Linked DNA regions of Astyanax mexicanus. The protein of the gene in region 2 interacts with the protein of the main gene of each other region in a pairwise test. Links are inferred from orthologs where the notes say so. Each region holds a gene or a part of one and is shown on either strand. Other genes may lie near its edges. The genes, in order: oip5, nup62l, agr1 and iscu.

The links.
Region 1: the proteins of nup62l (region 2) and oip5 interact in binary tests that used the Homo sapiens proteins (3 or more experiments, as listed by UniProt). The two-hybrid records come from large-scale screens. The link is inferred for Astyanax mexicanus from reciprocal best matches to the Homo sapiens genes NUP62 and OIP5.
Region 3: the proteins of nup62l (region 2) and agr1 interact in binary tests that used the Homo sapiens proteins (3 or more experiments, as listed by UniProt). The two-hybrid records come from large-scale screens. The link is inferred for Astyanax mexicanus from reciprocal best matches to the Homo sapiens genes NUP62 and AGR3.
Region 4: the proteins of nup62l (region 2) and iscu interact in binary tests that used the Homo sapiens proteins (3 or more experiments, as listed by UniProt). The two-hybrid records come from large-scale screens. The link is inferred for Astyanax mexicanus from reciprocal best matches to the Homo sapiens genes NUP62 and ISCU.

Annotation. Positions count from the first base shown.
Region 1 is NC_064414.1:7,791,656-7,799,066, reverse strand, and holds the start of oip5 (protein Mis18-beta), read left to right. Parts: upstream 1-4,395; 5' UTR 4,396-4,515; coding exon 4,516-4,738; intron 4,739-6,244; coding exon 6,245-6,311; intron 6,312-6,407; coding exon 6,408-6,530; intron 6,531-6,633; coding exon 6,634-6,715; intron 6,716-7,411. Other genes in the region: nusap1 (nucleolar and spindle-associated protein 1), read right to left, coding at 28-191, 355-518, 609-659, 769-881, 1,541-1,627, 2,137-2,302, 2,399-2,545, 2,877-2,936 and 1 more. UniProt on the Homo sapiens protein: Required for recruitment of CENPA to centromeres and normal chromosome segregation during mitosis.
Region 2 is NC_064417.1:1,308,463-1,315,875, reverse strand, and holds the start of nup62l (nucleoporin 62 like), read right to left. Parts: upstream 3,004-7,413; 5' UTR 2,878-3,003; intron 2,110-2,877; 5' UTR 2,093-2,109; coding exon 1,782-2,092; intron 917-1,781; coding exon 663-916; intron 35-662; coding exon 1-34. Other genes in the region: cnga2a (cyclic nucleotide gated channel subunit alpha 2a), read right to left, coding at 5,023-6,443, 6,616-6,722, 7,072-7,179. UniProt on the Homo sapiens protein: Essential component of the nuclear pore complex. The N-terminal is probably involved in nucleocytoplasmic transport.
Region 3 is NC_064418.1:38,617,549-38,624,423, reverse strand, and holds the start of agr1 (anterior gradient 1), read left to right. Parts: upstream 1-3,861; 5' UTR 3,862-3,909; coding exon 3,910-3,985; intron 3,986-4,997; coding exon 4,998-5,096; intron 5,097-6,622; coding exon 6,623-6,686; intron 6,687-6,776; coding exon 6,777-6,829; intron 6,830-6,875. Other genes in the region: traf3ip1 (TRAF3-interacting protein 1), read right to left, coding at 1,005-1,127. UniProt on the Homo sapiens protein: Required for calcium-mediated regulation of ciliary beat frequency and mucociliary clearance in the airway. Might be involved in the regulation of intracellular calcium in tracheal epithelial cells.
Region 4 is NC_064429.1:3,638,704-3,646,522, forward strand, and holds the start of iscu (iron-sulfur cluster assembly enzyme ISCU, mitochondrial), read right to left. Parts: upstream 3,018-7,819; 5' UTR 2,963-3,017; coding exon 2,861-2,962; intron 1-2,860.

The DNA.
Region 1 (7,411 bases), on a different chromosome or scaffold from region 2:
CTCACCGTTTATCTCCATTGTTCTTACCTGGAGTTTTGTTCACTGCGGCAGCGTTCTTGTTAATCTCTGGTTTGGTGCGAACATCAGACTTCCTGCCAGGAGTGGGAGTGAAGGGAACCATAGGAGACATCCTAGCTGGAGTCTTCACCAAAGAACGCTTGTGCTCATTGTCCTGCGTGGCCTCAGAAAACCTGAAAAAGAAAGTTTCTTTTTACTTCACTTTACCTACATCTGTTATGTGGATGGGATAAATAGTTTTAAATAAAGTAATTTTCGACCTAAAACCTCATATTTACCCCTAAATATCACATGAAGGAATCAAACGACCATTTCCAAATACTGTCTGCATCTTACCTGACATTGATTTTGTTGACTGAAAGGACAGCTGGCCTGAAGGGGACACTGTTCTTTTTTGCAGATCTGTTGACCAGGATTGGGGTGAACCTGCGTTTCTCTGAAGTTGGTTTCCTCTCCTGTAGGCCCGGGCTAAACAATGTTGCACGACTGGCAGGCGGCTTCTGCAAATGAACATGTATTTTTGAGTCCCTTTTACAGCTCAAGACTGGTTTTACAAATTACAAACTAATCTAAAGCAACTTTTTACTCACAGCCTGAATCTTCGCATCACCAGGTTTCTTTGCACTGTTTTCAGATTGTGCCTGAAATTAATGCACACCCTTAATACATCACTACTTTACTATTTACAGATGCTTAACCCACATGCTTTAACTTAAAAGCTAAATACACTCACAAATCAATCAAATGTACCTTTAGTTCCTTAACAGAGCTTCTGAGAGCATCCATCTGCTTGTTTTTCCTCTGTACGTAAGAGTCGATAGACTCCATCTTATTGAAGTGTGCCTCATGGAGTTTCTTAAAGTCTAAAGTAACAAATACAAAATACATTATGTAAAGCACAATGACCAGAACACCAACACAACACAGCTGAAACACAGAACCTGATCTTGCTATCCTTATACATTTTATATATGTGTCTATTACCATCTTTCACATGCACATGCCTGGATTGTCTATGAAGACTCTCTCTTGTGTTCCCTCGGTTTGCTTTTACATTTAGAAGTATATTCATGATCAACATAACTTGTAAATTGGGCTTTGGTATCTGCATGCATTCAGGATTCTGGATCCTGGAATGTTTTGGCCATTATATATACACAAAACAATAATATTAACAATCATGTGCATTAGTATTTAGTAATGTGATTAGTAGCTGATTTTTGCTCTACATAAAATAATAAAAATCAGATAACAGGTCGATCTCACAAAAATGCATTGGAAACTAAAACTGGACAAGTGTCAATGAAAAAGATGGATATTAAGTGAAATTATAATTAAAATTGCCCCATAGCATAATATACAGCCCTGCACAAGTGCAATTAACTAAATTAGTCTAATTAAGCACTTACTGCAATAAAACATGCAGTTTTTCTGAATTCCCGAAGTCATACAATTACAATTTACCCCAATAATAAATGCCATCATACTGCCCAACCCTAACAGACAGAAAATTAAACTTTACTAGGAGTGGTCGGTCTCAGAGGTGCCTTCGTCTTCTTCAACAGACCCTCATGACGAGGAATTCTGCCAGCAGTCTTCTTTTCCACACCTGTGGAAAACAAAACAACCCTTAAAAGCATTCAAACTATTCATACATGTTATAGCAGCAGATCCAGTATGTGTGTCATTCAGGAAATAGGAGGCACTCAAGAAAAGTAGTAGACACATTTAACAACAACAACAACTCTTCACATAAGAAAATGCAAATCCAAATTCCTCTTTTTACAGTTTTCCTCCAATAATTTCCAAAAACGGTTAGCACAGCCAAAAAACTGAGTGCATCTGTGCTCCCAAATCCTTCACTCTCAACTAGTGCTCTTTAAGCTTAAGCGCATCTTTTACATACTATCAAAATATGAGTTTGATTGTAAATTTCCTTTTACATTAAACTGACATGACTTTCATGAAATAATACAACAATAACAAAAATATTCAAACAAATAAAATCATATGAATTATTATCTATGGAGTTAAGACTGTGGATATATAAAATGAGTTACCTGTAGACAGCATAATTAAAGTTTGATGTTTAGAATGAATGTACTGGCAAATGCATACCTTGAGCAGCCTGCTGAGTAACATTAACAGACTTTGGTTTTGCGTCTGCTTTGCTCTCCTTGGGATCCTCAGCTACAGCCGGAGTCTCTGTGCCCTTAGTTGAAGACACTTTTCTCCTTTTTGAGCTTCTTCTGCCCTGCTCTGCATCATGAAGCTCAGCATTGTCCTAAAAATGGTTAAATGTTTCTGGTGATTTTTTTTTTTAAACACGATGAACTGTTTGTTTTTTAACATAACCGAGGTTGTTAATGATATGACTTACCTGGGCTGGGCTCACTTCCACTTTGGGCTCATTGTCTGTACTGCCCTGGTCAGAATGCTTCCTCTTCATGCTTTCACTCTTCCTGCGGCGCTTGGTCACATTTGAGGACTTGACCTCATCCTCTGCCTGAGCATCAACATTATTTGCCTGAGGGATGTAATGCATTTATAATATGAGATTTATAGCCACACTTATGTTTTAAAACAAGAACTTATTTGTATAAAACAAGAGTCACATTGCATTGCAGTATGTGCAATATCAAATATATGATTTTATTAAACTTTTTTTTTTTTTTTTAAACTTGGAGACCCAAGAGAATTTAAAACTCTCCATGACATGTCTACCAAAGGAACATTATATCACAGGTAAAATCTGGTGACAAACTGGAAAATGCTTAAATATCTGTATTTCACCTGAAACCTAAAAACCACAAACTTAAAAGGCTGTAAAAGGTGTGTAATGAAATTGGGGGACTCACATTCTCTGAGCTCTCTTGTTGCTCAAAGTGCTGCTTCAGGGCCTTCAGCAACTTCTCAGCCTAAAAGAAAAACACATGGATAGGTTTGGTTCCATTTATCTGAGAAGGGAAGGGAAGGGAAAAAGAGGAGCAATCTCACACTGATTTACTCTCTTTATTAAATAACTGCCATGATAAAAATACATTTTAGGAGCCAAAATAATACCCTGTGCAATACTACAAGATTTTATAAACCTTATATATACTACCACAACAGATTTTACATTAGAATTAATGCTGAATAATAAGACATTTAGCTTAAGGTATTAAGGGGATAAATAAATCAGCAGTGGCAGTGGGACATTGTAGCTTTGGGAGTATTAGAAGCATTAAATCTTACGTTTGCAGTGTATAGTCATGCACTAAATATTCTCAACTAGGGGTGTGCCATATCGTATCATATGGTACACAATATCATCACCAAACATTTGTGATAAATGTCACAATTCTTGAAAGCAGTATATTTTGCTACAATAATAACAATAACAATAACTACTATTATATTAAAAGTCTTGGTAAGTTACTGTTTTTACATACTATTTGTTTCAACTAAATAATTTAAACCCTTATACTTACAGTAATTAATAATTTAACATGTAACATCTATTTTGTTACAGCAGTAGATTCAGTGTTGACATACTACCAATAATATTTGTATTACGTATAATAACTTACAGGTACTTTGTTACGACTGTAGGTTGTTGAATTTAATTAAATGTATTTATTATTTTTTCAGTGTTTTGACATACTGCCAATAATATATTTATCGCAAAACCACCGTGAAATATCCTGGTATTGATTGCAATAGTGCTTTTATATCGCACAGCCACAGAAACAATTGTCTGCGCTTATAAATATGCCTTAAATAAATAGCTTAATCTACTTATTTTTAATAACTAGAACAGCCATATAAAAACAAAGATTAGCCAACCTAGCTAAATACGTTAGATAAGTTTAAACATAGGTTAACTAGCAAGCTAATGAATCTTGAATTGAACCTTGAATTCTAGCCTGCTACCTTAAAACGTGCACAGTTAGCATCATTAACCTACACTGTATGTTTATGTGGGCCAGACCACGCCGTGCAGCAGTTAAGGTGGACCTGAAATAACCTATAGCGGAAAGCTATACAACGAACTCAGTTAGCTAGCTGCCCCTAACTAAATTAGTGTTAACGTACATATATGTCGGCCTCACCTTCATGTTAGCTTTCAAACCAACGCTTTTGGCGAGCTGCTGCAGGTCTCCATATTTGAGGGAGTCCAAATCCATCTCCAAGACCAAATCTAGACAATGTAGACGATACAAACAAACAAAAAGAGAGAGAAACGGTCGCAGTATGTCCAAGACCGAACCAAACGCGTTTCTTTAGGTGGGTGACTGAAGGGAGAACGCGCCTGCGTCGGTTGAAAACCACAGTTCAAATTTTGCCACCTCGTTTCCTGATTGGCTAGGAGCGCTGGAGACGGTAACATGTTTGTAGCGCTGATTGGTTCGTAGCCTGAACATGGGCGGAGTCTATCATCACACTGTTTGTTAGAGTGAGAGCTGTGTGTGTTTTGGTTGTTTAGCACGGTGTAAATTCTCGCCAGTGTAGAAAATGTCTCACAGAAAGCCCAGTTTCCTAACGGACAGCTATGACTGCGATAGCACCCAGAGCAGCGTAGTTGTGGAGCAGCTGAGAGCTGTGGAGGAGCCGGGGGAGCACACGGTGGACTATGAGCGGTGCTGTGTTCTACACTGCGCCAAGTGCAGCACGGTCATAGCTGACTCCCTGTCCGCCTGTGGGGAGGCTAAGAGTATCAAATCCATCATTTGCCTGAGTAAGTTTCTGTTTTCAGTGTGAGATAAAACATTTGTAAAGAAGTTAACTGCGTTATTGAAGTGCTTTTATTGTCAGAAATTGTCAGAAAACATTTCATTAGAAAAAAAAAACAAGAGACAACTTCAGTTTCTGAATCAGTTACTGTAATTTAGCTATTTATAGGTATATGTTTGAGTAAAATAAACATTGTTGTTTTATTATATAAACTACAGTCAACATTTCTCCCAAATTCCAAATAAAAATATTGACATTTAGACATTTAGAAAATGAGAAACGGCTGAAATAATAAAAAAAAGAGCAGAGCCTTCAGACATGAAATGATGCAAAGAAAACAAGTTCATATTCATAAAGTTTTAAGAGTTCAGAAATCAATATTTTGTGTAATAACCCTGTTTTTCTTTCACAGTTTTATGCATCTTGGCATGTTCTCCTCCACCAGTTTTACACACTGCTTTTGGATAACTTTATGCCTTTACTCCTGGTGCAAAAATTCAAGCAATTCAGTTTGGTTTGATGGCTTCTTGATCCATCTTCCTCTTGATTATTTTCCAGAGGTTTTTAATTTGGTAAAATCAAAGAAACTCACCATTTTTAAGTGGTCTCTTGTATCCATTGTATCTGATGCAGCATTGCCAATTAACCAGCATGCTCAGAGGACAGCGCAGCGACTTCTTTGCGATACATCGGCTTACAGATGCCTTGTGCTGATCGACATCACCCTACCATGAGGGGAGAGAGTGTCATCTACCCACCCAGAGAGAGCAAGAGCTCCGGTAGCTGATGGCAAACTACATTTTAACCAGCAATCTCCAGATCATAGTGACGGCGCCTTAGTCAGCTGGACCACACAGAGCCTTATGATTACAACAACTTCTCTCCTGAATGATCTCACATGAGTCTTTTCAGACCTTAGGACTACTGTCAGAAATCCCCCAGTGAGGGTTCTGTATTCAACTACCAATCCCCCTCTGAGTGTACTATACAGACCTGGCAACCTATAACTGAATCTTCTGCATCTTGTCAGTGCATTGCCTCTGTCCACAGTGCTCTGCAGTTTAAACTGTGAATGCAGGTGGGAACATGAGGCTCAGCAGACCACGCGATTAATGAAATACAAAACAACGTGTTTAAGTCAGCAGATACAGAGAGGCAAGGATGTGTGTGGGCAGATCAGCACTGCTGTTTGTCACCCAGAATAAACAACATTTATTTTTCTTCTGTGTGCATAAGTTTGATAAGACGCATTTGACACCTAAATTACGTTTCCAGCAACCATATAAAGAATAACCTGACATCAACTGTTTTTTCTACTCCTCCATGCAGTATTCTTTCTTCTGTGTGATGTTTAAGTGTTTCTTGCATGCACAGCCTGTGAATTGCGCTTTAAAGATTGCTATTAACAATCGGTTTATAGAATAGTGTTAAAATATTAAATCGGAGTGTTTTATTTCAAATAACCCGTTTTACACAATATGAACATAATATTTTAAATGTGTTCATGCAGAAGTCACTCAGGACGTAAAAGTCAGAGGGAAGTTTGAGGTATGTCTAGAGGGTCCTCTGGCTTTTTGGTAAGTAAGCTGTCCCCTAATGTGGCATAAATATTTTTAGTTTTTATTATTTTAAAATTTGTAATAAAAGTCCTCTTTTTCTTATTTGTCACGAAGCACTTACAGAGTCCTTGAATGCGGTATTTGTCATCGCAGCATGGGTGTCATCCTGCACTCCACTCCAACACATTGGTCCAGCTTGCGAAATCTCTTTCTCTTGCGGAAAGAAGTTCTAAATTGGTGAGATGTGTTTTTGTTTTGGCTTTTAAATAAGTACAATGTGGTGTCCAAGTGTTGGGGAAAAAAAAAATAAAATTGTATTTACTTATTTTAACCTGTTCAGTTACATGCTAAGCAAGTGCACCGTGGTGAAAGCTACCAAAGTCAGCTTTGAAACCAGACCTATAAGAAAAAACATCATTGAGGTAAGTGTAGCATGGTCGGCTCAGTCTCATATACCATTACTTTAAAGGGAGAATTTTCCTTTACTTTTTACTAAAATTTTGTTTAGTTTAGTACATAAAAATATTAATATGTCTTTAAAACAGACAGACCATATGTAGGGAAAATAAGTAGCAAAATCAGCTTGGGTTCATTGGGCCTTATTTCTTAGAAAAAAAAGTATTTCTAAGATCTAATTTACACAGCTTCAAACAAGATTCTGACAGTCACCTTTTTTTCTTATTTGGGATTTTCTTTTTCATTCACAGTAGGATTCATTATTATAAGAGCAGCGCTGTAAAGAATAAATCAGCAGTTTTTAAAAGCATATTGTGAACATGACTGAGACTTTTTGTTAGGATATTTATTCAACATATTCAAGAAGTTCTTAGGAAGATGTGAATGGTTTGTGAATGAGGCCCATTGTTTTTTGACATTATAAAATCCAGCACATTTACATATTAATGTATGTAACCCATTCACACTATGTTGTAATGTTTTTAATGGGCTGCTTTCTGATTGAGGAGCAATAACTGCAGCCAATAAAAACAGAACTCATTTACATTAGAGTATTAAAGACACATTAAGATAAAAGCAGACTGGATCAATGAACATTGTGTGTTTGAGTGGACACTGAACCCCACAAAAATGTGTATCTCCAAAGTAGCAACTTTACACGT
Region 2 (7,413 bases):
GGGCCTGTAGAGACGGGTGCAGTACTTGTGAGACCTGACCAACAGAAGGAAAGAGGAGAGGGTGAAAAAAGAGAAAAGAAAAGAATGGTGTCATTAAAACTGTATGAATCTTTAAAATTATGAGTTTCTTTGATTTTACCAAATTTAAATCAAGAGGAAGATGGATGATCACAAGCCATCAAACCACCAAACTGAACTACATGCATTTTTGCACCAGGAGTAAAGCAGCATAAAGTTATCCAAAAGCAGTGTGTAAGACTGGTGGTGGAAAACATGTTAAGATGCATAAAGAAACAGGGTTATTCCACCAAATATTGATTTCTGAACTCTTAAATCTTTTTCTTGTAACTTACGCAAAATACACCTAAAATAGCAAAATCAGAAACACTGATTCAGAATCCAATAGCCAATATTTAAATCACAAAATAATCAAGTACTGAATAGCTATATAAATGATTTCTGCCAGAACATAAAATAAAAGTTAATTGTACCCATGCAGACCCCTGGTACTGTCCTGAATAGGGACAATATATTTTTTTTAATTAAGTGTTTTTTCATATTGCCAAGAGTATTGTTATCACGAAAATGCCATGAAATATAGTGATATTGTTTTAGGGCTATATCGCCAACCCCTAATCCTAAAATCAGGATAAACCACAGACCTGTAGGCTGCACACCCAGCGACAGGGCGGGAGTGGTCTGCACTGCCGGGGCTGCAGTGGTCTGAACTTTGGTCATCCCGAAGCTGAAGCCTCCTGTAGACGGCTGAGCTCCGGCTGTAGTCTGAGCACCAAGACCTCCCAGTGTAAAGCCTGTTCCAGTGGAGGAAGGTGCTGCTAGACCCCCCAGAGACACTCCAGTACTGGCAGGCTGAGAGGCAGTAGGCAGGCCCAGGCCTAGTTTCGCAGTGGGTGCACTAGAAGTGAGAAAACATTTAAAATTATTTTAATTATTTTACCCCATTCTTCTTTATAACATCACACTTTTCAAATTTTTATTTGATTAAAAATGTTATAATTATCGATCATCTTCGTTCCACTTTACAATTATGTGCTAATTTGTGTTGGTCCATCATTTAAAATCTCCATAAAATACATTTAACTTTGTGGTTGTAAGACAACACAATGTTAAAATGTTTAAGGGGTATGAATACTTTGAAAAGCCACTGTAGGTAGACATACAGGGGTTGGATAATGAAACTGAAACACCTGTCATCATTTTAGTGTGGGATTTTAGGTTTCATGGCTAAATTGGAGCAGCCTGGTGTTCAATCTTCATTAACTGCACATTATTGCACCAGTAAGAGCAGAGTGTGAAGGTTCAATTAGCAGGGTAAGAGCACAGTTCTGCTCTAAATATTGCAATGCACACAACATTATGGGAGACATACCAGAGTTCAAAAGAGGACAAATTGTTGGTGCACGTCTTGCTGGAGCATCTGTGACCAAGACAGCAAGTCTTTGTGATGCATCAAGAGCCACGGTATCCAGGGTAAAGGACCAACCACATCCAACAGGATTAACTGTGGACGCTGTAAGAGGAAGCTGTCTGAAAGGGATGTTCGGGTGCTAACCCGGATTGTATCCAAAAAACATAAAACCACGGCTGATCAAATCACGCAGAATTCAATGTGCACCTCAACTCTCCTGTTTCCACCAGAACTGTCCGTCACCACAATCAATTATTGTGCTCTAAAACCAGCTGTTTCAGTTTCATTCTCCAACCCCTGTATCTATCAGTACAGCGTCTTCTCTCAGTAATACCTGTACAAAAAGTCTTACCCGAAGGAGAATCCTCCAGGAGCAGGAGCGGTGTTCTGCGTCGCAGCACCGAAACTAAATCCCCCCTGTGAAGCTCCATTGTTGGCCGCGGGCTGAGCGAGCAGTCCTGCGATCTGAGACGTCCCGATGGAAGCCTGGGTCTGGGGCTGGGCCTGAGGCTGAGTCGGGGCTCCGAACGTAAAGCCCCCTGCGGCCGGGGTGCTGGTCAGCTGTCCAAAACCTGTAGCAGCAGCCGGAGCTGAGCTGGTAGTTTTAGGGGTTCCAAAAGTAAAGCCAGAACCAGCACTGGCCTGTCCGAAACTGAAGGACATCTTCCTCTCTTTAAATACTGAAATATTAGATAAAGAATATTAATAAATAGGATCGTTACAAAACAAGTTGTCTCTTTTAAAGCAACCCTGTTCATGATTTATTACAGTACATCCCTCAATGTTGACTTTATTATTATTATAAGATTATTATAAATTATAAGAGAAATTTTACAAAATAATTCAAGTCTGGCATGGGGGCTAGATAATACCACCAATTTTGCTGACTGTCCCAATGTCCTATCGTCTCCAGATAATTGACAGCATCTTAAAGAACTGAATAAGATTATAGTACATTTCCTGAGATTACTAAATATGGAATTTTAATTATTTTATATTATTTAATATGATTTAGATATTATTAACTTTTCTAATGTTTTTATGTGCTGTTGCTTTGCTTGTGTTCTTGTTTATACCAAATTTACACTTTAAAGGGACTTATCTCTCTCCATCTACGCACAGTGTGTGTGTGTGTGTGTATAAAAGTCATATAGACATATGTATAGAGATATAGACTTATAGAAAGCTAGAGATAAACACACACTCTTGCTGTGTTGAGGTAAATAAAGTAAATAAGGTAAAGTAATTACCCGGCTCAGCTCTCAGCTAGTCATGCTTTCGCTAGTTAGCTTAGCTTAGCTATGTTGTTAGCTCTGCTCGCTAACTAAGTGAACTAGGCTAATGTTAAGCTTGTTACCTAAACACTCCTGCTGATGTGATTTAATCTATAATAATAAACTCTGCAGTAACTGAGAATAAATCCTGAAACAGCAGTACAACTGATTTACCTCAGAAAAAGTGCAGAAAGCCGGATCCCATTCCTGTAAAACTCCTCGCGCGGAAAAACAAGTCCGTCAGCGCGGCGCTACTGACACTGCGCAGGACCAGAGGGCACATCTCAAACGCTTCATGCTGCCTACATAGTGAACTACATAGTCCATTAATAAAGGCTGTTAACCGCATTTAGAACAGTCCCTAGCATAAAGGAAGGGAGTCAATTGTGATCGAGCCGGAGTTTCCCCTACGTTTGCCTGTTTAAAATAAAGGCTCTTCTCTTTATACCGTTTTATAGAGTTTTATAATAATAATGTAAATATATTTTTTTATATATATAAAATCAAATTTAGCTGTATTTAAAATTCAACTTTGAATGCGTTAGACTATTAAGAGTAAAACAAACACATATTTATATATTTTCCATTAAACATTAAGAGTTGTATAGTAGTGGTTGGTAGTTTTCTTTAAATTTTTGTCAAAAATTAAATGAGGCAATTAATATAGTTAAAATCTGTCTAAAAGTTGCATAAAAGTACCTAATAAGGTACGTTTTACGTTTTTTTTCTTATTCAATTTATTCCCTTGCTTACTATGAGACCACTAAACTGTCTTTTTGGTATATTGAATATTGGTATTTTTATATTTAAAAAAAATCAAGTGCATGCAAATAAAAAAAAAATAATAAAAAGTAAAATGTATTAGTTAAAGCAGAGGTAAAATACAAAAAAAAATCATATAGACTATAGGGCTGTGTCCCAAACTGCACAAGACCCCACCTAATTGTATTTAGCGTGTATTTATTGTGTAGTGTTTATTTTAAAAAATGTATGTGTGTGATTTGGGAGACAGGCTTAATTACAAACGATATTTTCTATAAATAATGGAAAAGAATAGTTCCAATCATACGAAGGGGAGTTAATGTTCCAGTCCAGCGGCGCTGCTATAATGAAATATTGATTTGATGATATTTGATTATTTGAAATATTGACATTTCAATTTTAATCCATTTTCTGACGAGTTTTCATAGACTAAAATGTTCTTTCTTTATACCCACCTTCTTATGTTCTTCTGCGTACACATGCAACAGGTTTATCAGTTTTATTTCACATAGTATGTGTGTTTTTGTGAGATGGGAGCAAAGACCAGAGAAACAAAGTACGAAATAAACTAAAACACAATATCTTTAATCTGTGTTTCAAACAAAAATCAGCTTCAAAGTTTATGTAGTACAATAATACAAGTCAAAGTTTATATACATATATACAGCCTTTACATGTTTCAGTCTTCACCCAAAACAAACATTTTATTGTTAAATATTGTCTCCAACTGGTAATGACTCATATAAAGTGACCCATTGACCTATTGATTTATTGACCTATTTAAAAACACTGAGCTATTTACATTTTTGACTAAAATATGGATATCAGCTTTAGTGGACACTAAAGACATCTATTTTTAATGACATTAAACATAGCCTTTGCCTTTTCAGATTCCAGATGTCCTTAAAAGACTATTATAAAATGAAATTAGCAAAAGTATAAAAAATGTCTCAAAAGCTCTAAAAAGTTTTAAACATACATACACACTCTCATACATAATTACACCCACACATACAGTATACACACCAGGGCAATTCAGAGTTTCCATTTAACCTGTTAACCATGTTTTTGGACAGTGGGAGGAAACCCAGACACGAAGACATGGAATACCATGGAAAAAACATGAAATGTGTTATAGGAGAACTCCGGTGTAAAATGGACTTTTGGAGAAGTAAAACATGAAAAAAAAGTACTTACCTTAAGTTATTAATGCCTCGTTTTAAATGTCAGGGCTCTTCGGATTCTAGTGAGGAGGTGTGGAGCTACTTTGAGCTGGATAACGGTGTAAAAAGTGATTCATCAAGGCAAATTTTGCCCCGTATCTCCCAGTCTGAAGGGTGTTTGGACAAACTGTTAAAATGTCTGGATCTCTGAACGCTGTGGGAGAACGGAGGTGTGCTATTCATCAAAGGAAAGAATATTTTATCATGTTTTACTACAACAAAAGTCCATTTTACACCAGAGTTCTCCTTTAACCAACAAGCCTCTGAGCCACTTGTTCTCCCTGAGTCTAGAATAATCATGGAATTAAGACCCATAATAAAGACCCAGTTCCATTCAGAGCTGAATGTTGACCTCGCTGTGAGTGCCGTCACCATCGGTAGTGCTCTCGTTACCATCGGACAGAAACCCGCTGCCTGAAAGCTGCATCCTGCTCTCCAGAGTGGTGACCCTCTGTTTGAGTCTCTGCTGTGTAGCCGTGTATTCCCCCAGCAGCCGGGCGAAGCGGGTCTGCAGGGTATCCAGGGACGTCTCCAGTCGTTCCACTTTCTCCTCCATCTGTTCTCCTGTAAGCCCCCCTGCCCTCAGCTCCTCCAGCAGTCCCTCCTTCCGGAGGATCTCTCGGCCCCTCTCCTCCAGCACCTTCTTGGCATCAGGGTATTCTATCACCGCCTCCATCAAGTCATCCTTGGACAGGCAGAAGAGGTCCGAGTAGCCGATGCTTCGGATGTTGGCCGTGCGCCGGTTGCCCATCTTGCTGCCCTTGATGTTGAGGATGCTGATCTCGCCGAAGCAGCTGCCAGAAGTCAGGAGGGCGAACTGCGTCACGCCGTCGTCAGCGACCACCGCCAGCCGACCTTCTTTAATGATGTACATCTCCTTCCCAATGTCTCCTTTCCGACAGACGTAGTCGCCCGGGCTGAAGACTTGAGGCCGAAGCTTCAGAACGAGCTCCACTAAGAGCCCTGCTTCACAGTCCTGCAAGATCCGCACCTTCTTCAGAGTCTCCAGGTGCACGTTGATGGCGATTTCCGCCCGAAGCTTGTTGGGAAGGTTCTTGAGCACCTCTTGCTCATCGATTGCCTTCTTGTTGGTCCACAGGTAGTCAAACCATTTGATGACCCGAGCCTCCAGCTCCTTACTGACCTTGCGGAACTGCATGTAGTGCTTGATGGAGTCGATGCGGGCTTGGAACTCGGCACGTGTGGCGTTCATGTTGGATATCATGGCTCCTACGTTGCCAACAATGGTGGCAAAGATGAGGACACCCACTAGGAAGTCGAAGATCACGAAGAGGTACTCCTCGTCACGCACTGGTGCAGGCATCTCGCCAATGGTGGTGAGCGTGAGGGTGGACCAGTAGAGGCAGTAGATGTAGCCTCTTGAGAGAGCACCAAACTCGGGATCCGAGATGTTAGGGTAGACCCACTGGTCTGAGCCGAAGCCAAGAGACTTCGAAATGGCGAAGTAGATGCAGGCGTTCCAGTGGATGATGACCAAGATGTAGAGCACCAGGTTTCCAATGCGGAAAGTGTTCGGATAGCTTGTGCGAGTTTCCGTACGATCAAAGAACTCAAACAACCGAGAGAAGCGCATCAGACGATTGAATCGCAGCTCCGGTACGTGGATTCCAGTAGCGATGTACGCCAGGTCTGTGGGCAGGATGGACAGGAGGTCCAGCTTAAACTGGAGGTTGCTGATGTAGGTGTCTCTTAACTTTTTGAGGTCCTTCACCAGAAGACCCTGCTCCAGGTAACCTGCGGTGTGGAAATTCATGTAATTATTTTCTTGTAATTTGGATTCAGGTGATTAAAAAACAATATAAAATCATTTCTAGAACCAAAAGTACAACATTTAGTACATTATTTCAATAAATGCAATTTTTTTTCAGACTTTTGAGTGTTGTGACTGTTGACCGAGGCTTCTGACCTGTTCTCAGTCTCACACAGGTGTCCAGTATGTAGACCAGATCAGAGAGGTAATCCAGAACCAGCCACACAATGTAGTTGTTGGTTTGAAGCTCATCAAAGCAGGCCCTGTGTTTGAAATATCAATGGCTAAATTGTGAGCCTGCCACAGGAAATGCCCCTTTGCACTGGGCACAATTGCAGATATTTACATAAATCAGCATAAAAATGAGTATCTAAATTAGACCTGCTCGATTCATTAGGTTTGAAGCTCTTAAATTGTTGTTTTTCTATGTAGGGAACATCTCAACCAGGCCAGCTCTAAAGCAGATCTGTATTAAAAGCTTAAATGTTTTTTTTACTGAATTGTTGTTCGTATAATTTTAGAAATACATATTTATTCCTTCTATTAAGCAAATATTTAACATTTTAAATCACCACCAGTAAGACAGGTAAGAATAAGACAGGTGTTTTTTACCTGGCCACCAGTAGACACCAGTTGTACAGCACAGCGGTGGCGATGATAAACAGCCAGTGGTAATACAAGTCGTCTGCTGCTGCGAGGACAAATACGTCTGACTTCTTCCTGTAGATGAATCCCCCCCAAAAAATCTTAGTTTTAAAGATTATAACTGAGATATGACCAGTATAGCATTTTGTAAATTGATTAAAATTGAATACCATGATTAATGACGAATAATCACACTTTTTCTTCTATAAGACTAAGCTGAAATATGAATAAAATGTGAATCATTGTTAGAAACAAACAAACAAAATTTGTATCTTTGGAGCCAATCGCTTAAAAATAATGTCATGTATT
Region 3 (6,875 bases), on a different chromosome or scaffold from region 2:
CTTGACATGTTCCTCTCCACCAGTCTTACACACTGCTTTTGGATAACTTTATGCCAATCCTGGTGCAAAAACTCAAGCAGTTCAGTTTGGTTTGATGGCTTGTGATCATCCATCTTCCTCTTGATTATATTCCAGAGATTTTCAATACGGTAAAATATAATAAACTAATCATTTTAACTGTTCTCTCATTTTTGTTCCAGAGCTGTAGATGATGTGACTAGTCAGAATGTGTTTAGCTATAGCTCTGTAGATCTGACATAATCACTATTAAAACTTTCAGACATTATATTTCAATATATAAAACTAGGCTAACTATACACAGGTTACAGAGATCTGCAGCTACTTAAGCTAGCTAACTTGAGTTTTGACTAGTAAAATGAGAGTTAGGACCCGAGTTTGGTACTGGTAATGTGTGTCTAGTCAGAATGTGTTTAGCTACACATAGATCTGTAGATCTACAGATCTAGTAACTAAACATTTCAGAGATGATATCTGAAATAATAGTTTCTATTAGTAAAAACTAACTAGCTAACTTAGCGTTAAGTTAGCTACAGAGATCTGTCACGAGCTAGGTTAGCTAATTAGCCAACTTGAGTTTCACTAGTAAAAACTTGGGCTTGGACTAGCCCTTGTAGCTAGTTAGCTGAAGCTGGTGGTGTTACTTTAGGCTATAACGGTGGGCTATAATCTACAGTGGTGGTGAAGCCAGAGCAAAACTTGGAAAGGTGCAAAACAGCAGAAGAACAACCACCTCACATCACCTTACAGCACTAATCCAGATCTGCAGCTCCCTGCAGAGCTCAGGAGAGCTTAAGTAGGAGTGCTAACCGTTAGTTAGCCTGTAATGCTGTGCGCATCTGGACCGACTGAGCCGAGGAGTTCAGAGCCAGACACAGTAACGTTAGTGAGCTAGTTAAATTATCCAGCTATAGTTACGTGATGTTTAGCGGTTTAAGCTAATTTCTCGGTAAATAACCGAACAGACAGCTCTCCTCCGGACTCACCTCGCTTAATATATCGTGCAGGTATCGGAACGGCGGTTTGCTGAGCAGTTTTTCAGTCAGGGGAGGCTTCTTTATCACTCTCCCCAGAACCTCCTGGGTCTTTTTAGCCACCGAGCCGTTCATAGCAAAGCCCTACGGTCCTCTATTCGACGTTACCGCTGCTCCCGTGTGAAATATTGAGTAATTCACCGCAAAAAGACCCCAAAAACGGAGGAGCTACAATCACTGAGCGGCTCTCAGTGTTGCTGTGTCAATAGCGTTCAATCCCACAATGCCCCGCTTCGCCAATATGCGCACGCGCACACCCTGCGTGGTTGTCAAGGGGTGGCAAATATCCATGGCAACGGCTAACAACTCCGGGCCTGTTTAATAGCATGATACACTTTAGCTAAAGCTAATACAGGATTTTAGCTAAAAACACATTTTATTATACATTAAACATATGAAAAAATTAAACATAAAACATTTACTGCACAATATACTGACTATAACAGAATAGAGAGTAATGGAGAGTAATGTTTATATGAATATAAATATTTAAAGGGGATATAGATGAACTCCTACTACTTATAATGATAGTAATAATAATAATAATAATAATAATAATAATAATAATAATAATAATAATTTTGCAACGATCAATTAATCAGTCAATCTTTATTTTTTTCTCAGAGGTAGCTGCACTGAGGGTGAGCCCGTATTTTCATTGCCGCCAACAATTTCCAATAATAGGGATTTATACTCTTTACATAAAAAAAAAATAAAACAGAGGACAGTAATCAAGCTAAAACTAATGGAAAAAAACCCCGAAAATAATCATTATTATTAATTAATATTAAACTGAAATTAAGACTTTTTTAAAAAGAGTTCAGAAAACCCAGATAGCAGATCTAGGGAAATACATAATAAGAAGGTAAACCAAAGATAAAGATAAATAGGTATAAGAAAGGTTTAAAAACAAGAAAATGTAAACAATTCAATGTAATATTTTAAGTACAAAAAATAAACTTAAGCTAACTAACTAATAATGAAATTATACAATAATAAAATATTATTGATGATAAAATAATAAACAAACATAAACAAACAAATAAATAAAAAGTGATTTGAAAAAAGTAGTTAAGGTTAAGAAAAACAGGTAGAGGCAGAATGGATGTGGTTAAAAATTAAAGTATAAAATGACTGAGTGAAATGCGGAATTTTCCAGTTAAGTAAAACATTTTGTTCAGGTTTACCAGAAGAATAAAAGTAACTAGTTTTTATATATAAGTAATTTAAACATCTCTCTGCATGTGCCCATATAGACATGAAATCCTTTAAATAATTTCAATGGTATTTTGTCTACCTTGGCCTTAGCCAAAATAGTACAATGGTTTAAAACTACAATGGTAAAAATACTGTTGAATAATTCAAGATGTCCTTGATATTTATATGATACTATTGAGTATTGTGGTATATTGAATATACCACTGCACATTTAGTACCATGAAATACCATCATACCATGGAAAAACTGCTGTATTTTTTCACATTAGATGGATTTATTAATATTAGGCTACAGTATAAAAAGCTGTCCAGTGGTGGCTCAGCTGCAAGTTCTGGATTGCTAATTACAGGGCTGTGGGCTTGCTATAACTATAAATGCAAAAAGGCACATTATTATTGCAATCAAAGTAAGTGTTACAACAGTGAAAGTGAAATAATAGTTACAGGTTATGAAATAGATCCAATTCCAATGAGCCAATTCACAATATCACTGATTGCAGAGCACTGCCTGTGCTAAAATCTGGCTTGTTCACTCTTTGACACACCTAAAAAAATCTGCCGGTCCCATGAACAAAGCTACAGACAGGGAAAAAACCACACCTTTAATTCATAACAGCCTCTAGGCCTCTAACTGGTTTAAGCAAATTCTGTGCTTCAACATACACAACAAAGGCAGCCACACATTCTTAATTACAAATCACCCCTGTATAGTTCCAAAGCAAGATCAATACACCCCTGTGATTAACAACTGAACAGGTGTTATTTTCTTATTTTATATTTTCTCCATCTTTTATTCCCCCCAATTTAGCTTAGCTAATGAACCTGCTCTCACATTAGGATGTCCTCTATCACTATTAATTCTGTTACATGTGAAGCCAGTCGTTGTTTCTTCAAATGCAGAATCACTAGGTAATCAATGAGCTTAGAAAAAAGCACCAAATCCCTAGTTCTGATACATCAGTCAACATACATCTGTGCCAGCCAGCATCACAGACAGTGCCATCTACCTACCCGGACAAAAAGAGAATGGGTGGCAAGGCAGCTTGACCTGTGATTTGAGCATCTGGTCCTTGTGCCATAGTGTCACCTTCTTATGAAAAGAGGTTCTTTTCCTGAAATTCTGAACCTGCATGCTGTATCTCTACAGGTCATGCCTAAAACCAATTTTATCTCCACCAATCCACAGGACGTGTTTCTTTGAAAACTTGTGTCACAAGAAAAGTATTCTTTTGCCTACATATAGGTCACAATATAAAAGTGCACTACCACCCCAAAGTCAGAGTCAATCTTCCTTAAGGTCTTTTACAGTCAAAGAGTGGGTTTTGATTTTCCTTTTTCGAAACCAGTCAAATGTAAAATTTGGGGGGGGGGGGGACTCAAAACTAAGCATATTAAATATCAGATCATCTTCTATTTACTTCAGTATTTCTTTAGTAAGAGATCAGTATTTGTCCAAGTGTAACCTGTGCATGATTCCCATTAGTGCTAGTAAACAAAACATGAAAAAATAATTGTAAATTGTGGTTTATATGAATGTGAGAATTTGAGTCATTGAAAAGCTACTGGGAGGAGGACGTCTTGTTTAGCCATGTGTTCGTACGTGTATTCAGACCTGTTTGGCGAGTTCTTTTAAGCTATAAATGCACCTGCACCACCATGAATACTGTCAGACTGACAGAGCAGAAGAGCAAAGCTGGTTCAGCCGTTTCACTTTTGGTAAGATTTCTTTTTACTTAAAAACTGGTATTTATTGTTTTTTAATTAATTATGTATTATTGGGAAATTGAAAGGTGTTGTGTTTATGCTTGGCTGTGACAAATTAAATGTCATATTTGTTTAAGTTGTGTAAAGTGTATATCTGTGATTTTTTTTTTTTCGTTTTTGACAACAGTATAATTTATTTTCACACAACTGGGATAAGTGTAAGCTAATATTGAGATATAGAGGAAGTTATGAACAATTATTATAATCAAAACAAGATGCTAATGCTTTTACCAGCCTGTCTAAACATGCATTTCTAAAAAAAAAAAAACTAATCACATGCAGGGTTCTCAATATTTACTCCACAACATGATTTGTAAAAAAAAAATCATAAAGGAATGGTCATAAAGTAGCTTTTGAATAGACCAGTTATTTGTATATTCAGACCAGTTTGGTGGGTTTCATAGCTATACATATACCTGCATACCTGTGGGTTCTGTCAGACAATTTTTTTATGTCTACAAAATGTTTTGTTTATTGTATTGGCCCAATGTGTATGTCATTAATACAAATAAATGTGTGTAGATATTTTATAATTAAAAAAGTAGCTGTTAAACAGACCAGTTGGCCATATATTCAGACCTCTTTGGTGAGTTTCATAGCTGTAAATACACTCGCATGTGTGTGAGTTCTGTCATATAAAATGTGTTTAGGCTCATGTTAGCAATTGCAGGAAGATTTTTCAATAAATCTATTATATCCTGATTTGTAAAACATCCTCAAGAAAAACTACACCTACAAACAGTGCAGTTGCCTTTTAAACCGACCAGTTAATCATGTCCAACCACTTGCTCAACCAGCCACCTCCTCTTTTTTTTTTAAGCAATCCCTTTAATAGCTACAGGCTGCAATGTGAAAGGGGTATGGTACTTAACTAAACACATTCCACCATACTGATCATACTGATAATTTAACACTTAACACAGACATGTGCACAATATACTCACTGTTTGTCTGATTCTTACAGTAATCATGGGCCGCTGGTGTGTGTACGCATTGCTCTTCTTCTTATCCTGTGACGTCTCCATGCAAAGAAAAAAGAAAGTAGTCCAGACTCTCTCCAGAGGTAAGATCATTTCAAAATATGTATACGTATTTTTCCACACTATAAGGTGCACTGGATTTTAAGATGCATTATGCGACACTAGCAATGAACAGTGGTGTCGCCCTGTTTTCCTTCTGATTCAGCAGGTCTTGCCACTGGGTGACGAGACCTTTAAATCTAAGCCATGCAAAGTAACAAAACTATAATTCAAATAAGCACTGGATGTTAATCTACACAGATTTCTCTCCTAAATACAGTTTATTTGGGTGAGTAAGGAGCTTCTATTTATTTGCTGCAAGCTTAGATTTCCAGATTTCCTTAAGTGTTCCGGTAAACCAGGGTGCTATTAGCTAGTGGTTTACAGGTTAGACAGGTTAACCTGGTAGCAGGTTACAGACCGATAATACTCACCTCTGAACGGCGAAAGAGCTAGCTAATGCTAATACTGCTCAAGTTTTGAGTCTTGGGGCTGGAGAACCAAACTAAAACTCCTGTATAACACTGCACTTCAGCAGAGTGGCTTTACTGCTCCTTACAACCTTTCTTAAGTAAGGCCATGAAAAAAAACTCTTGGATTTAAATTTGTAAAAGAAAAACTGTCTTTGTTTTAACTAGACTGACTCTTATTGCACTAAATTAGGATGATGTGTCCTGTAGATCAAACAAATTTGAAAATGTGCTATAAAAAGAGCCCATATATATATATATATATATATATATATATATATATATATATATATATATATATATATATATATATATATATCTTTTATGCTATATCTACTTGACTGTGTCCCAATGGGTGCTGTTTCTTGTAGAAAACTAGAGGTCCTACAGGTAAGAAAACATAAAGAAGTTCACATTTAGATGCAATAAACCAACCAGTGTGCCAGTTGTCATTCGCTTTAAGAGCCAGGTGTGCTCAGACTTTGGCACATTGCTATTTCAATGCCACAGCTACCTGGACATGTCCACTGCTTCTTAGCAGAGGAAACTGACCTGCTTGTTCATTCTGTTTATTGTTGATGTAAACATTTCCACCACGCCCATTGGTATAGATATATTCACAAACATTGTTGCTATTTAAACGAGTCAGGTTCAAGGCGTGACTATAGACTGTTAGCAGGGTGTAAGATAGCAATGAGCATTGCAACACAACCATAATGTTATGTTGCATTAAAATAATTACAGTTCAAAAATTCAAAGACTTAAAATATTAATGTGTTTGTGAATGCTGCAAATTTTCTGAGGTCATCTGGCACCCCAGCTTGGAATGCTTTATTTACCACCAGTACTCTATACAGTCCTACTGGTCTAAAGTAACACAATAAACTGGTGTGATTTATATAAAACTGAATGTAAAAGACCTTAACAGAAGGAATGTAATCAGAAATAAAGGAATTATTAAATAGGACAGTTATTAAATATTAAGAACTAAAATGCAACATACCAAATTCTATCTCTGCTTCCAGTACTGATATGGTCACTAGGATTGTCACTTGTGTTTTTACTTTACCTGGTTGAGTTGAACTGTTGCTTTATTTCAGGCTGGGGAGATGACATCACCTGGGTTCAAACATATGAAGAGGGTCTATCAAAAATGAGAGCAAGGTAAGATTAACTGTTAAATCAGTCTTTTGTCTGAGAGCTGCAGAATTCTTTATTATAGTTATGGATATGTCTTCTGTTTTATCACTACAGCAACAAGCCTTTAATGGTCATTCATCATCTAGAAGAATGTCCACACAGTCAAGGTCTGTAATATTTCTCTATTGTTCATTATGCATGTTTTTAGAAAAT
Region 4 (7,819 bases), on a different chromosome or scaffold from region 2:
AGCCGATTTAGTCCTTACTAAGATTTTACTAATAAAAACTCTAATTGCAGGTCTCTGTATTGATGTAGGTCATTAGTGGAAACTCTAATTTCAGATATGATTCAGAAATAATTACTTGTAATAATGTCAGGTCTACAGTGATATAAAATCATTCTGAATAGATGTAATTCCAAAAGCACACATCCTTAACATAATTCTATAAATCCCTTACTACTGACCATTGAGATATAATTTTTCTTTTTTAGTAGTAGATATTTTAATTTTGGATATCTCCACTGTAATTCTGACAAGTTAAATGTCCAGTTCCACATATTAATAAATTAGTGTTGATTCCTATAAATCATAATTCAAGATATGCAGTTAGGAGTAGTAGGGTTGGGTGATATGGCCAACATCTATATTTGAAGAACACACTAATTGCAACAAAATAAATATTAACATTTATTTGGCGATAATATTGCATATGATATATTATGGCACACTCCTAAATGAGAAGTGAATTCTACACATAGCAAAAAAGTTGTACCCTAATCGCCCTAAAATTATATGACATGCGATAATGATTATTGCATACGAAATTATATGATTATATCTACAGTTTGAGTTTTGACTAGTCATGATAACGGTACAATATTTTTAAATAATATGTAACAATAAGAATTACTTTATCTAGAACTAGAATTACTTACTAGATGTCTAGAACTACAATTTCTAAAAATAAAAAAGTGCAAATATCTTATTTTTTTTTATAGTTAAGTGTGTTAAACTTTATGGAAATCAGTGATAACATCGAAATTACATTAAAAATGTGCTCTATGGCTTTATAAAGCTTTAGATCTGATACTTTTTACTAGTAAAGGTGCCATAGCTGATAACTTAAACTAATATTTCCTCCAGTAAAAGCTGCATTACAGTGACCTTGTTTTACCTGTAAACACTGAGATAGCCAGGACTTGTAACCCATCACTGGTGTCAAAATTCACCTGATAATGACAATGACCTCAGAAAACAGTGTACCTACCTATTACAATAATTCAAGATTCCGCTAATATAAAGTTCTAATGAGCATTTCTGATAGTTTTAGATAGAAAACAATATAATGTTTGATATCTACAATATTTAACTGTGTACTAACACAAATGTAATTGCAGAGATCTGTAATTAAAGTTTTTACTAGTAAACTGTACTTTAAAATGCATGCAGATCAGTGGTAACATGACAGAATTACATTAAAATTATGCTCTATGTCTGTATAAAGCTTTAGATCTGATAGTATTACTAGTAAATGTGTCATAACATTTATTCTGCATTACAGTGTCCTTGTTTTCACCAGTAAACATGGAATTGGGTATCTAGGCATTCTCTCTCTGGTGTCATTTTAGGCAAATCTGCGTGTTGTAAGTACCTAAATCCCACAAACATGTTTAATTTAAAGAAAAATACATCTAATAATGACAATGACCAACTCATACCTCAAGATATCTCTAATATTTAATTCTGATGAGCCTTTTGGATAGTTTTAGATCAAAAATAAATGTATCAATAACTATAGTTTTCACTAGTAAAAATGTACTTAGAGATAGTTAATATTAAAGCAGATCAGTGGTAACATGACAAAATTACATGAAAAAATATGTGCTTTACAGATTTATAAAGCTCTATATCTGATATTATTACTAGTAAAGGTACCATAGCAGTTGTTCTGCATCACAGTGACCATGTTTTTACCAGTAAAAACTGAGTTGGGTAGCTACGCACTTCGACTCTGATGTCATTTTAGGTTAAAAAATGCTTAATTTAAAGAAAAATACACCAGACAATGACAATGACCTTGAAAAACAGATTCCCTATTCATCATAACTCAATATATCTTTAAAACGTAGTTCTAACAGTTTTAGATAGCAAATAGCATATTTTTGGATATCTACAATGTTGAACAGTTACTACGAACACAAAAGTAATTCTGTCTGTAACTACAGATTTGACAAGTAAATGTATACTTTAAAATGCAAATAATATACATTTACTATACGTAACTATATTAGTTTTTACAGGTAAAAATGTACTTATAGTTAAAAGCATGCAGATCAGCATTAACATGACAAAATTATACCATGTCTGTATAAAGCTTTAGATCTGATATTATTACTAGCTAAGGTACCATAGCATTTATTCTGTATTACAGTGACCTTGTTTTCACCAGTCAATACTGAGTTGAGTAAGTTAGCTAGATCTCTAGGGTCATTTTAGGTTGAAACTGCTCGTCATAAGTGCCTTAACCGCACAAACATGCTTAATTTAAAGGAAAGTAAGACCAGAACTTCGATAAACATGTAATCCACCCACCTATATAATCAGCTACAATACAAGAAGCTTCACTTCTGAGGCTGCAGCTGCTCAGCGGATTTCCCCAGTCCACCTTAAATTCCCCAGCAATAACAGGGCGGCGCACGTGAAGGTGCCTGTCTGTATCAGCAGTAGGATTTAAGGTGGAACGGAAGATTCGACTACGCATCAAACTTAGCTTGGTTTAACGTTACTTATCCAGGTCAAACAATAACTGTCACTTATCTAAGCGAGGACACCGCGCTGTGAACAGATAAATAATTATGTAGTGTTATATCCTGCTGTAGAAGGGCTTTGTACTTGTTTTTCTGAAAGTCTCGAGCAGTTAAGCTTTATAATAAATATAAAACAGAGCGGAACTCGCTAGTGTTAGCAGCACTAGCTCGCTATGCTAACGGAGGATTAGCGCCCCAGACAGCAGCGCTGTTAGCTAACAGGCTTAAAGTGCGCAGACACACACAGCCCGGTTAGTTTCACAGCTCAGAAAAGCGCGCAGTGTTTAACAGCCACCGACCTTCTTGTGGTAGCAGCACACCGCCTTCGCCTCCGTGCCCGTCAGAGTTCTGCCAAACAGCCCAAAGGACGAGAAGCACTTCCCCACCGACGACAGCGCCATGTCTCCACTGCCGACTCTCCGACTCCACACAGACACTGATAATAACAGCCGCTGTGAAGGACAGACAGCAGGGGGCGCTGTTAGACCTGGGTGTATCTCAAATTCCAGACATGCTGACTTGATGCATTGCTGCCTACACTAGCTCCCTCAGAAGGCAGTATGTTGATGAAGGATGTGTCTCCGATTTTAAAAGCAGCATTAAAGTATTCTATAGAGTATAAATTACAGAGTACAGAGTATAAAGTATAGAGTATACATTATATAATATAGAGTATAAAGTAGAGTATAGAGTACAGAGTTTAGAGTACAGAGTATAAGTTATAAATATAAATAGAGTATAAAGTATTAAGTACAGAGTATAGAGTACAGAATGTAGAGTATAGAGGACAGAGTATAGAATATAGAGTAGGGTTGCCACCTTTCCCGAATTAAAACAGGGGAAAACAAGTGCCTGTGGAATCAAAAAAAAAAAAAAAATGGGACGGGTGGCAATCTTAGTATAGGCAGCCTACTGCTAGAAATAAGTGTTTATCTGGGTTATTATTAGTTGTTAGCAATTTCAGCCACTAAAAAATACTAGTGTTGTAGTACTCCAGTCTGTCCTTGATCTCAAGACCATAAACCAGATTTGGAATTGTTTTTGTCTTACTTTCAGGAGAGATGGACTCAGAGACCCAGAAATTCCAATGTGTCTCTCCTAGGTAATGCTTATTCGAAACCAAAAATACAAACCCACACAATCAATGTTAAAAAGGACAATAACCCAGTGTTATTTTCTGACATTTTTTTTAATGTGATAAGCTAATGGTGCAGACTGCAACCACTGTCAACTCCTCAAACCAGAGCGAATAGGGTTAGCTGTGGTGCTATTGGTGGGTCTGTTTGTTTATATTAAAGGTGAGGTGCTAGACTAATACCGTATGTATGTTTATCAGATAATTAATGTTTCAGAATAATAGAGATATGATGAGACAACTTATGCCCCAGTCCTAATATGTCCTGTGTGTGGCAAGTTAATCAGCCATGTATACAGTTGCAAGAAAAAGTATGTGAACCCTTTGAGATCACTTGGATTTCTAAATTAATTAATTATCAAATGTGTTGTGATCTTTATCTAAGTCACAGCAATAGACAAACACAGTCTGCCTAAACTAATACTACACAAACAATATATGTTTGCATGGTTTTATTGAAAACAACATGTTAACATTCACAGTGCAGGGTGAAAAAAGTATGTGAACCTTTGGATTTAATAAATGGTTGATCCGCCTTTGGCAGCAAAAACCTAAAAAAAACGTTTCCTGTAGCTGCAGATCAGACCTGCAGTCAGGAGGAATTCCTCTTTACAAAACTGTTTCAGTTCAGCTATAATATTCTTGGGATATCTGGTGTGAATCGCTCTCTTGAGGCCATGATGCCACAGCATCTCAATTGGGTTCAGGAGGACAGGACTCTCCAGAAGGCGGATTTTCTTCTGTTGAAGCCGTTCAGTTGTTGATTTAATTCGGTTTTGGGTCGTTGTCCTGTTGCATCATCCATCCTCTGTTGAGCTTCAGTTGGAGGATAGATCTTAAGTTTTCCTGCAAAATGTATTGGAAAACTTGGGAATTCATTTTTTTGTTGATGACGGCAATCCGTCCAGGCCCTGAAGCAGCAAAGCAGCCCCAAAACATAATACCCCCTCCACCATGTTTCACAGTTGGGATGAGGTTTTGATGATGGTGTGTTGTGCATTTTTATACACATAGCGCTGTGTGTTCCTTCCAAACAACTCAGTTTTGGTTTCATCTGTCCACAGTTTATTTAGCCAGTACTGCTGTGTAGAACATCCAGGTGCTCAATTGCAAACTTCAAACGTGCAGTATTGTTTTTTTGGACAGCAGTGGCTTCCTCTGTGGTGTCCTGTTTTCTTTATTGTAGATCTGTCAACAGAAATGTTAGCATGTGCCAGAGATTTCAGAGAGTCTTTAGCTGACACTCTAAGATTCTTCCTCACCTCATTGATCATTCTGCGCTGTGCTCTTGCAGTCATCTTTACAGGACAAACACGCCTAGAGAGAGTAGCAACAGTGCTGAACTTTTTCCATTTGTAGAGCGTTTGTATTACCGTGGAAACATAAACATCAAGGCTTTTAGAGATAATTTAGTGACCCTTTCGAGCTTCATGCAAGTCATCAATTCTTGAACGTAGGTCTTTTGAGAGCTCTTTTGTGTGAAGCATGATTCACATCAAGCAATACTTCTTAAGAGCAGCACACTCTAAACTGGCATTGGTTTTTATAGGACAGGTCATCTTTAACCAACACATCCAATCTCATCACATCCTGCCTCCAATTAGCTCTTAGAAAAGTCATTAGCCTAGGGGTTCACATACTTTGTCCCTCCCTCACTGTGAATGTTAACATGTTGTGTTAAAAAAACATGCAAACATATATTTATGTGTATGGTATTGGTTTAAGCAGACTGTGTTTGTCTATTGTTCTGATTTAGATGAAGAACAGAACACATTTAATGACCAATTTATGCAGAGATCCAAGTAATCCCAAAGGGTTCACATACTTTTTCTTGCAACTATATATTAATATTGGATTGCTTTACCAAAGAAAAAAGAAGGTACAGGTGAGAAAAGTAAAGTGAAATGATGGGATTTTACTGTCCAGTGTGAGCAGAGGTCTGAAAAATACATTCTGAGTTCTGAGGAACTTTCCACTTTTAGCTATTTAAATTAGACCAGGTAATAGAGAATGTGGGAGGAATGTTTGATAACAGTTTTACAGGTTTACCTACTTATATGATAAAAAAATACTTAAAATGAAAGTAACATACCCGTCCTAAATACATAATAGTTTGTTTGTCTCCTGTAAACTCTGCTTAACTTCATTTACAGTCCAGTTTATTTTTTTTAGGGGAAAAAGAGCAGCGAGGCTGAACAACAAGGTAGTAATGCTCTGCTAATGTTGCTGCTGTTAAAGATTTTCACATATACAATAGAATAAGCAAATGGTGCCCTGTAACTGCAGGACTATTTACAATGTAACAGCTTTATTCACACATCATTATTAGTTAGGTCTGGTATATATTTTAATCAGCTTTTCTCAAATTTGCTGGATGGATTTCTATTCAAAGTCCATTCCATTTGAGGAATTTATTTTCAAGAGATGGTAAAATGGCTATTTCACTGTGGTTTTAGAAATACAGCCATGCCAGAATTAGTTCATGAAGTAAAAAACACTTTTTCTTCTGTCGTCCTGCAGGCAAAACTACTAATCCCAAACATCAGTGAACTTATGGCCAATTTCCTGATTTCTTTTTTTCTCTATTTTGCTGTATATATCTGTTAGTTTGTGTAGCGAAAACAGTTGAAATGTATTTGTACATGTCATTTTCCAACCTTGCATCTTCTACAACTAAGTCTCAGATTGTGCTACTTGGTCTTTAAGACTGATATATGCAAATTGTTCTTTTCTGATTGGCTGGTCTGTATGGCGCCTAATTCCTGGGCTGTTTATTTATTTTTATTTGGTTATTTCAACAGGAAGAATCAGAAACCGCACAGAATTGGTTGACATAAAAAGGAAAAAATAAAATAAAAACATCCATGAGGGTACAGTTATGCAAAGCGTCCTGCCCACAGTTCTTACAGTCATTCTATTTGTGTATCCTAAACTAAAAAACATAAAATTGTGAAAAAAAAAATCTGGCAAACAGTTTCTTTAAATATATGAGCAGAAGTGGTTAAACATTTAGATGGTTGACATGTGACCCTGACTTCACGCTAATGCCATGTAATTGTAGAAACAAACAATGGGTCTATTCTGGCATTACTCCTTTAAAGTATATTTGTCAGATACATATTCATACATGAAAAAAACTGAATAATATATAAAGTAAATAGAACATATAAAACAACAAAAAAAGATAAAGTGTATATGTCATATTCCGCCAAATCTGTGACATTTCTTTCCCCAGGAAATTACATGTATAAATGTGCACAGGAAAAACTTTACTTTAAAATACATTTTATTATTGAGCATAATGTCTTGTACACTGACCAAATTCCTTCAGAGATGTAATAAATATGCTTTAATTTTTTTTCCACAATAGATTCATTATATTTAAGTTAAAATACACATTTTAGTTGTGTGCCTGAGTTACCGTAACACATTACCCCATCTGAAACATCTGGAACATTCTACAATTCACATCTACAACATGAAGTGACATCAGTTGGTTCATCTGAAGACCATGGGAAGACAAAAATTAATATTTTTTGTGTATTTGATCTTATTGTAACTATTGACTGAGGGGGCCACTCTCAACACTCTGTCCTGTAATCTAAATTAATTCTTAAATCTTATTTATTTTTAAAATACAATTTTTGGGAAAATCACTCAATGTGCTCAATTTCCTCATGCTTTTTTCATGTTTTTGCAAATTCTATGCTAAAAGCTCATTCTTCTTAATTTTATACCTGTTGTTAAAAACACAAAAAGTAACAGGAGTGATTTTTTTTGTCATAAATATCAATTATTAGACATGCAGTCAACCATTTCTTTAAAATAAAAACTTTCTTGAGAGGAAATGAAAGGAAACAGTGGACTTGCTTTTAAACATGCATTTTAAGCTTACATGAGTTTTGTAACCACCATTTACAAGCTTAGACATATGTGTTATTAGATTCATAGTTGAAAAAGGATAAAAAAACTAAGTTTAATTTGGAAGAGTTACAACAAGCAAATTGCAGCCATTGGGTGGAATAGCGCAATATCAAGTTAAAATGTTCAACAAACTGCTGTCAGAAACAAATAATTAAAAATAAATTTCTTTTTCTCCTCCGCTTGGCGGGAAACGAGCTGC